2 linked regions of the Canis lupus familiaris genome follow. The protein of the gene in region 1 purifies or fractionates together with the protein of each later gene. This does not show direct contact. Links are inferred from orthologs where the notes say so. Each region holds a gene or a part of one and is shown on either strand. Other genes may lie near its edges. The genes, in order: SH3PXD2A and FGD1.

Evidence for each region.
Region 2: the proteins of SH3PXD2A (region 1) and FGD1 purify together in Homo sapiens (affinity purification with mass spectrometry; 3 studies listed by BioGRID and IntAct, with this or other methods). This does not show direct contact. The link is inferred for Canis lupus familiaris from reciprocal best matches to the Homo sapiens genes SH3PXD2A and FGD1.

Annotation. Positions count from the first base shown.
Region 1 is NC_049249.1:16,143,474-16,147,290, reverse strand, and holds part of SH3PXD2A (SH3 and PX domain-containing protein 2A), read left to right. Parts: intron 1-2,895; coding exon 2,896-3,233; intron 3,234-3,817. UniProt on the Homo sapiens protein: Adapter protein involved in invadopodia and podosome formation, extracellular matrix degradation and invasiveness of some cancer cells. Binds matrix metalloproteinases (ADAMs), NADPH oxidases (NOXs) and phosphoinositides.
Region 2 is NC_049260.1:46,537,810-46,541,626, reverse strand, and holds part of FGD1 (FYVE, RhoGEF and PH domain-containing protein 1), read left to right. Parts: intron 1-794; coding exon 795-853; intron 854-990; coding exon 991-1,137; intron 1,138-1,490; coding exon 1,491-1,583; intron 1,584-1,748; coding exon 1,749-1,828; intron 1,829-3,817. UniProt on the Homo sapiens protein: Activates CDC42, a member of the Ras-like family of Rho- and Rac proteins, by exchanging bound GDP for free GTP. Plays a role in regulating the actin cytoskeleton and cell shape.

The sequences.
Region 1 (3,817 bases):
AGTGGGGAGCTTTCTTGGCAGTCCCGGGAGCAAACTAAAGCCTATGGGCTCACCTCTCCCTACCAGCCTGCCCTCCAGTCAGTCCCCTCTGCCCTGGGGTTCTGAGGCCAGCCAGCACCCTCCCAGGGGGGCCTTGTTCGCAGGAAATGTTTTTGGGTGCTTTGGAAGCGGCTCAGCTGTAGTGATTCCACCCAGTTTCCGACAGTCCCGCATCTGTGGGCAGGATGTATGCTCTGTGCTGGCTCCCACAGTGGGAACAGGATTGACCCAAGTGACCTGGGCACTCCATGACAGTATCTCAGACCACAGCAGACTGTGGTGGTGGTAAGATGGGGCTGTGCTGACAGGTAAGGTGAAGGTCATTGGCCACATGGGCTTCGGCCTTAATGTGACTTCTAAGACAGAGCTGCCCCTGCCCTTGGCCCCATGCACACCAGTCAGGAGGGCCAAGGTGTCTCTTTCTGCTCTGTTAGGTAAGACAGGCCTGTTGCCCAAAGCCACTGCCCTAAACTTTCACGTTCTCTAAGAAACTAGACCCAACCCCCAAAGCCAGCAACCACAAGTCTGCATGGGAAGGCCAGCAAGCATTCTGATGCCGGCTGGTGACCCAAACCACTTGCCTGGTTGTCGACAAGGCTACAGGGTCTCTTTAGTTCCTAAAAATGACCCAAAGGTCATCTGAGCCGTCTTTTCTAATCAACTCTTGTCCCCATGGCCTGACTCTTTAGCTAGTGGGGGCTTCCTCTGAGAAAACTTTCCTGAAAAGATTCCACCTTAAGGAGGCTGCCAGACACCCCCTGAAATATGCCCTTTCCCAGCATTCCAGGCTCTGTGTTGATCCTCATTTCCTGTCTTTCTTCTCCCCTCTCCCTTCACACACACATCCCCTCCCTCTCTCCCCATCCCTCCTTTTCCAGTTGGCTTCCCTCTGGAGTCATTCCGTGCTCCAGAGCTGGAAAGCAGATGTGAGTAGAGCTGGGCCCAGACGCACACAGCCGCTCCTGATTCCCCTGCATCTCTCTGCCCGGAATCTAATTTTATCCATGTAACACCAAAGGAATACAGCAGGGTTTGAAATGGGAGCACTCCAGGCAGTGAGCAGGGCTGACCGTCACTCCCATGAGACCCCGCTCCCCATCTCCCCACTGTTCTGATAGAAAAATACTTGCAACAGCCGCAACAGTTCTACTTCATCTTTTCTCTGAGATGCATGAGCACCAAGTTCTGGGCCAGATGCTGCCAACAGCTAGCCTGTGACCCTCTGCTACTTGCTTTGCTTTTCTGAGCCTTGGTTCTTGGCTCCCATGTAAGATTAGGCATCTTTACGTCTTTTGGTTCCATCCACCCCTGAAATTTCTGTGCTTCTGTCTGCACCCATTACCTTGGGAAGCCAGGCTAGCCCCTTGGCTTCTGTCCATTTGTTAACTGGTGTCTGCCTTCCAACTCCCAAACAGGGGAGGGGGCCAGACAGGTGAGCTCAGGACAGCCTGCCTGTTCGTTCCAGTGGTGTGAACATAAGAAGCCACCTCCCACCCAAGCTTTCCAGCATAGCTCAGACATGTTGATAGAATCTTTAGCTTTCACATTCCTTTTTTTCTCTCACCTAATGAACACCCAAGAACAGGGTCAGATTGGGGAGGGGGAGGGATGGTCAGACATCTGGCACAGAGGAGCCATTCCAAAGAGCCAGATGTATCCCAGGGAGCAGACAGGGACGCTGCACCCCAGACTCGAGGGCATTGGCCAGTGACTGCTAGACCAGGAAGTGAGCTGCACGAGGGCTTGGGTAGGAGCTCTCAACACCATGGGGGCAAAAGGAAAAACTTGTTTTCAGAAGTCATCAAATCACCTCAAATTAAGTCAGCTCTATCATTTGTCATTTGCTTTTGTTTATGGGTTTTTATTTTATTTTCATTTTGTTTTGTTTCATGTTGGTTTTGTTTTGCCGTACCAAAGGTTTTCATTTTATCCAGTCATGTGCTTTTAGTCTTTTCATTTATGGTTTTGGCTTTTGGAATCCTATTTAGAAAGATTTTCTTAACTCCCAAGATTAAACAGACACAGCTTTTTTTTTTTTTTTTTTTTTTTTTTTTTTTAATTTTGTTCTAAGGTATGAGGCCAGATCTCACTTATTTTTCCTAATTGGGTAACCAGTCATCTCTAGATGGGTTACTGATATCTCATCCCCACTCAAAGTTGAAATGTTACCTTTCATATCCATCTGTTTATGGACTTGTTCTGTGAACTTGATCCATCCACCACCCACACAGTAGCACCGATGCCTCACCTACCGGGTCACTCTTCTTTATGGACCTCTTTGTAGTTGCTCTTGATATGTTTACCTTTCTGGATAAATTTTTGCAGCTACTCTATCCCTACAGTTTGCAGAAGAGAAAAAAAAATTGAGCTCCAGGGTAGGGACTTGCCAAAGGGCCAGAGACCAGAACTCAGGGCTCCTGCCTCCTTTTACCTGTGCCACTTCTTCACCTCTCTGATAACACTTCCCTTTGCTGGGGCCATCTAGCCAATACACCGCATCCATGCTTGCTCTTGTCTCTAGCGTTGTCCTCTCTGTTGTGAGGTAACAGGCCTATGTGAAGTCTACCTTTTGGGTACCTCAGAACCTGAGGAATCTTCTAATCCTGATGTCCCACATTTGGCTGACTTCGCAGTGAAGGAGAGCCCACACCAAGAAGGATAAGACAGAGAAGAAGGAGACAGGAAGAATTCGTGTTCTAGGTGGCTTTCCATCTGCCCTCAGTTCTCCTCTCCAGAGTAGTGGGACTGCCAGGTGTCTTGGAGAACATGGGAGAGGCCAGGCCCGATGGAGCCTGGGCTGTGAGGTCAGGCAAGCAGCAGTGCTTGGGTGATGCCGTGTCCTGCCCCTCCCCACAGGTACCTGGGCAAAGAGGGCTGGGCACCAGCCTCCTACCTGAAGAAAGCCAAGGATGAGCTGCCGGCGCGCAAGAAGAATCTCGCAGGCCCTGTGGAGATCATCGGGAACATCATGGAGATCAGCAACCTGCTGAACAAGAAGACATCAGGGGATAAGGAGACTCCACCAGCAGAGGGCGAGGGCCCTGAGGCCCCCATCACCAAGAAGGAGATTAGCCTGCCCATCCTCTGCAATGCCTCCAATGGCAGCGCCCTGGGCGTCCCTGAGAGGAGCATCTCCAAGCTGGCCCAGGGCTCGCCAGCTGTGGCTAGGATTGCCCCACAGAGGGCCCAGATCAGTAAGAGCCTCCTTGACCCCTGCATCCTCCCTGCACAGCTCTTTAGAAAGTGGTCACAGGGTGCAAGGAAAGCCAGAGGGGTGTGCGGGACCCCCGTATCATTTTCTTCCTGAGATCTAGACTGACCTGACCCTAGCCTCACTCCGTGAACTTGTTGCCTGCTCGTCATGAGTAGACAAAGCAGTTCCTCATGACTGTTGCACTGAAGGTCAACTACAGGAGTATATGAGCCTGTGGCATTCCCTCCTTCCCTAGAAGAGAGCCAGAGGTGGTCGCTCTGTAGATCAGTGTGTCCTCCAGGCTGGGAAATACGAGCCCCCTGCGCAAGGGTGCTTTACAGAGTGACAGCCAACAGGGCATCTTTCCTGGCTTACCCTTCCTTCCGTGTTGCCTCTCACCACTTACTGGAAGCCTAAAAGACTTGGAAGGAATGGCTTTACCTCTCCCCAAGCAGTTTTAGAGGGCATTCTTAGGAACATCGTCATCCTTACAGGAGAAACCCAGTTACCCAGATCCCCCCAAATCTGTCCTCCTCTGGCTCATGGCATCTTCGGTTCAAGGTTAGATTGTCCTATATTATGAGA
Region 2 (3,817 bases), on another chromosome or scaffold:
CCCCTTTTTTTCAATGAATCTGGCTAGGGAGTTCTTGGTTTTGTTGATTAAAATGTATATTTTCTTAGGATAGATTCCTATAATCAATATTATTGACACAAAGAATAGGCTCATCTCTTTGTTTCTTTATATATGGCTTTTTTCTTTTTTTTTAATTTTTTATTTATTTATGATAGTCACACAGAGAGAGAGAGAGAGAGAGGCAGAGATATAGGCAGAGGGAGAAGCAGGCTCCATGCACCGGGAGCCTGATGTGGGATTCGATCCCGGGTCTCCAGGATCGCACCCTGGGCCAAAGGCAGGTGCCAAACTGCTGCGCCACCCAGGGATCCCTTTTTTTTTTAATTTTTTATTTATTTAGCTTTTTTCTGATTATAAAAGTAATACATACTCTTTGTCAAAAATATGGAAAATACAGAAAAATCTAAAGAACACAGTAAAAACCACCCATAGCATAGACCCACCATCCAGAGATGGTCAACTCTTTAAATATGGCTATGTTTCTTTTCAGTTACCTATGTAATTATTATTATAGTTATTTTTAATGGTAATAATAATCCTAAGTTTGCATGTTATTCACTGCCAGTTATTCCATGCAGTATGATTCTGTTATTGTGGAATTAATTGAGATAGTTTCTGATTTTAAGTGATGCTGCTATGGACATCCTTGGGGCTGGTGCTTTCTGGGACAGGGAGGGTGTATTTAGGCCAGGAGGAAGCATTCAGGGAGCAAAGAAGCTCCCAAGAGCCTCCTCTCTGCTAGTTCCCCGTTTGACCTCCCACTCTGCCCACAGAGTCTCTGGAGCTGATAGCCACAGCAGCAGAGCACTCTAATGCTGCCATCCGCAAAATGGTGAGTGGCCCTTCTAGCCCCTGCCCTTCCTTAGCCACCCACCTGTGGTGTCTTTGTACTGGGGAACTTGCTATTTCTGGACATGTAAGGGGCAGCCAGCACCCCAACCCTGCCTTCTGGTTACTGTCTCCTGCCAGGAGCGAATGCACAAGCTGCTGAAGGTATATGAGCTGCTAGGGGGTGAGGAAGACATTGTCAGCCCCACCAAAGAGCTCATAAAAGAAGGCCATATCCTTAAGCTGTCAGCAAAGAATGGGACCACTCAAGACCGATACCTCATACTAGTAAGTGCCAGGTGTGGGGTTGCACACATTGGGTACTCACTCAAGACTATACCTCTTGCTAGCCATTCTTTCCTCTATTAATTCATTGTATTTTTACCACCTACACTAGGGATTTTTTTTTCTCTACTTCAGAGGTGATGTAACTAAGACTTGGAAGTGACTTGCCATAGATCACCCAACTAGAAAGCGACTCCCATGCCTAGGCTCTTTCCTCGTGACCATTGTGCTCAATCTGGGCTGTGCTTTCTCCATCTGTTGCCTTGATTCCCCAACAATAAAGCTTCAGGAGTCCTATAAGGATAGGGGGCTGGGCCACACCTCTCCACACACATCCCAAAACTTTTCCTTCGTAGTTCAACGACCGCCTCCTTTACTGCGTGCCCAGGCTGCGGCTCCTTGGCCAGAAGTTTAGCGTACGGGCACGCATTGATGTTGATGGCATGGAGGTGAGCACCAGGAGGTGGGAGATGGGGACCTGGAGTGGGGCCTTGGTGCTGGGAGGAATAAAGTTGTTCTGCTCTGACCCCAAGTCTTTGCGTGCATGTGTGCAGAGGGTAAGGTCCCTGTGGAGCTTAGTAGTCCTCACAAAGCCTCTTTCTCCCTCCATTCAGCTAAAGGAAAGCTCCAACCTCAATCTGCCTCGGACCTTCCTGGTGTCAGGAAAGCAGCGCTCCCTGGAGCTCCAGGCTAGGTACTTGCCCTTACCTATACCTTCCCTCCAGACCCCTCTTTCGCTTCAGATACAAGGCATTCTAGGCCTTGTGCCAGGCTACCTCCCCAAGGAAGAGATTGTTCCAGAGAAAAGATGGGTACCTTTTCCCAAAGATGCAGCTTTGCTCTTCTGGTGGGTTTTGTTAGAGGAGAGGGAAGAATGAGATATTAATCCAAGCAGGAATGACAACAACATAGTTTATTGTAGATTCAGAGATTTAAGAGAAATCACAATAAAATGCAATCCTTGGTCCATGAAAGTAGCCTAATTTGAGCAAAACCCTAAAATATATTTGCAAGAAAATAGGGAAAATCTAAGTGTGAGCTGAACAATAGCTGTTGGGGAATTATTGCTAACTTTTTCAGGTGTGATAATGGTATAATGGTTATACAGGAGAATGGCCTTGTTTTTTTCATGTTGCACATTGAAGATTTAGTATCATGATATCTGTAATTTATTTTTAAATGATTTATCAACCAAAAAATACATACACATGTACATATATTCACACACATAAATACATACATACATATACATATATATGAAGTAAATATAGCAAAATATTTTTTAAATTTGCATCTATAGGATAGGCATACATTTAATGAATTTGTGTTATCCTGTCTTTTTTGTACACTTGAAATTTTTTATAAACTTTTAAAAATAGTAGCATTTAAAAATAATGCCTAGCCATTTAATAAAGAGGCTTTCACATCCATCCTCTACTTGGATGATTATAATAATAGCTCACATTTAGTGAAGACTTGCTCTTATGCTAGGCACTGTTTTAAGTTAATTTTAACTTAATTTAAGTTTAAACTGACTAGTTGAATCCTTAACACAACCGTTGAAGTAGCTACTGTTACCATCAATCCCATTTCACAGATGAGCAAACCAAGGCACAGAAGAGTTGTGTACTTTGCCCAACATCCCACAGCCAGAAAGGAGCAGAGCTGGAAATAGAGCTCATGCTGCCTGCTGAGGGCCCAAGTGATACGGTATCATGGTCAGGGTCAGGGCCAGAGAATGGATGCATATGAGTAGATGATCTGTTTCTGACAGGCTGCAAGGAAGTGAGAAATGAGAGTCAGAAGCCTCATTGCTGGGATTGCATGGAGGCAGGAAAGAGAGATGAATATGGCTAGAAGGTGTCCTCCTAGAGGATGCAAGATAGGTGTTGGCTTTGAAGCTCTGGGAGACTGAGAGACCATCAGCAGCCAGGAAGCAAGAACAAAGTAAATGATGGGCACATCCAGGAGAGGGCTCAGCAGAACCGGAGTGACAAGTCACATGACTCAGCTCTTCCGCTGGGAGGATGGGAGGGAGGGGGCCTCAGAGAGACAATGGAGCCAAAAGGAGTACTGAGCAGTGCAGGATTTCCTCCTACTGGCAGAGGAAAGTCATGAAGGCTTTGCAATTGCTTTGCAATTGATTGTACTGCCCTTTAAAAAATTTTTAATGAAAAATTTCAAATATCCAGAAAATTAGAAATACAACAAACACCCATATACCTACCATTTAAACAATTGGTACTCAACCTTGGCAATGCAGGAATCAGCTGGGGAGCTTTTAAAAAATACTGATGTCTTAAGGGGCACCTGGCTGGCTCAATCAGTAGAGCATGTGACTCTTGGTCTTGGGATTATAGGTTCAAGCCCCACGTTGGGGGGATTACTTAAAATATTTTTTAAAATACCGATGTCTGAGACCCACCCCCAAAGACGGAATTTGTCTGGGATACAGCCTCAACATGAGTTTTAAAAGCTCCCTTGGTGGTTTTAATGTGTGCATCAGGGTTTGGGACCACTACTGACTTAGAAGTCAACAACAATTGACATTTTGCCATATATAGCTTTGGCTAAATCATTATAAATTAAAGACATGATACTTCACCCCAGGCCTTTCCTCTATTTGCACACACACACACATACATACACACACACATTTTCTTTCTATATTGTATTATGAAAA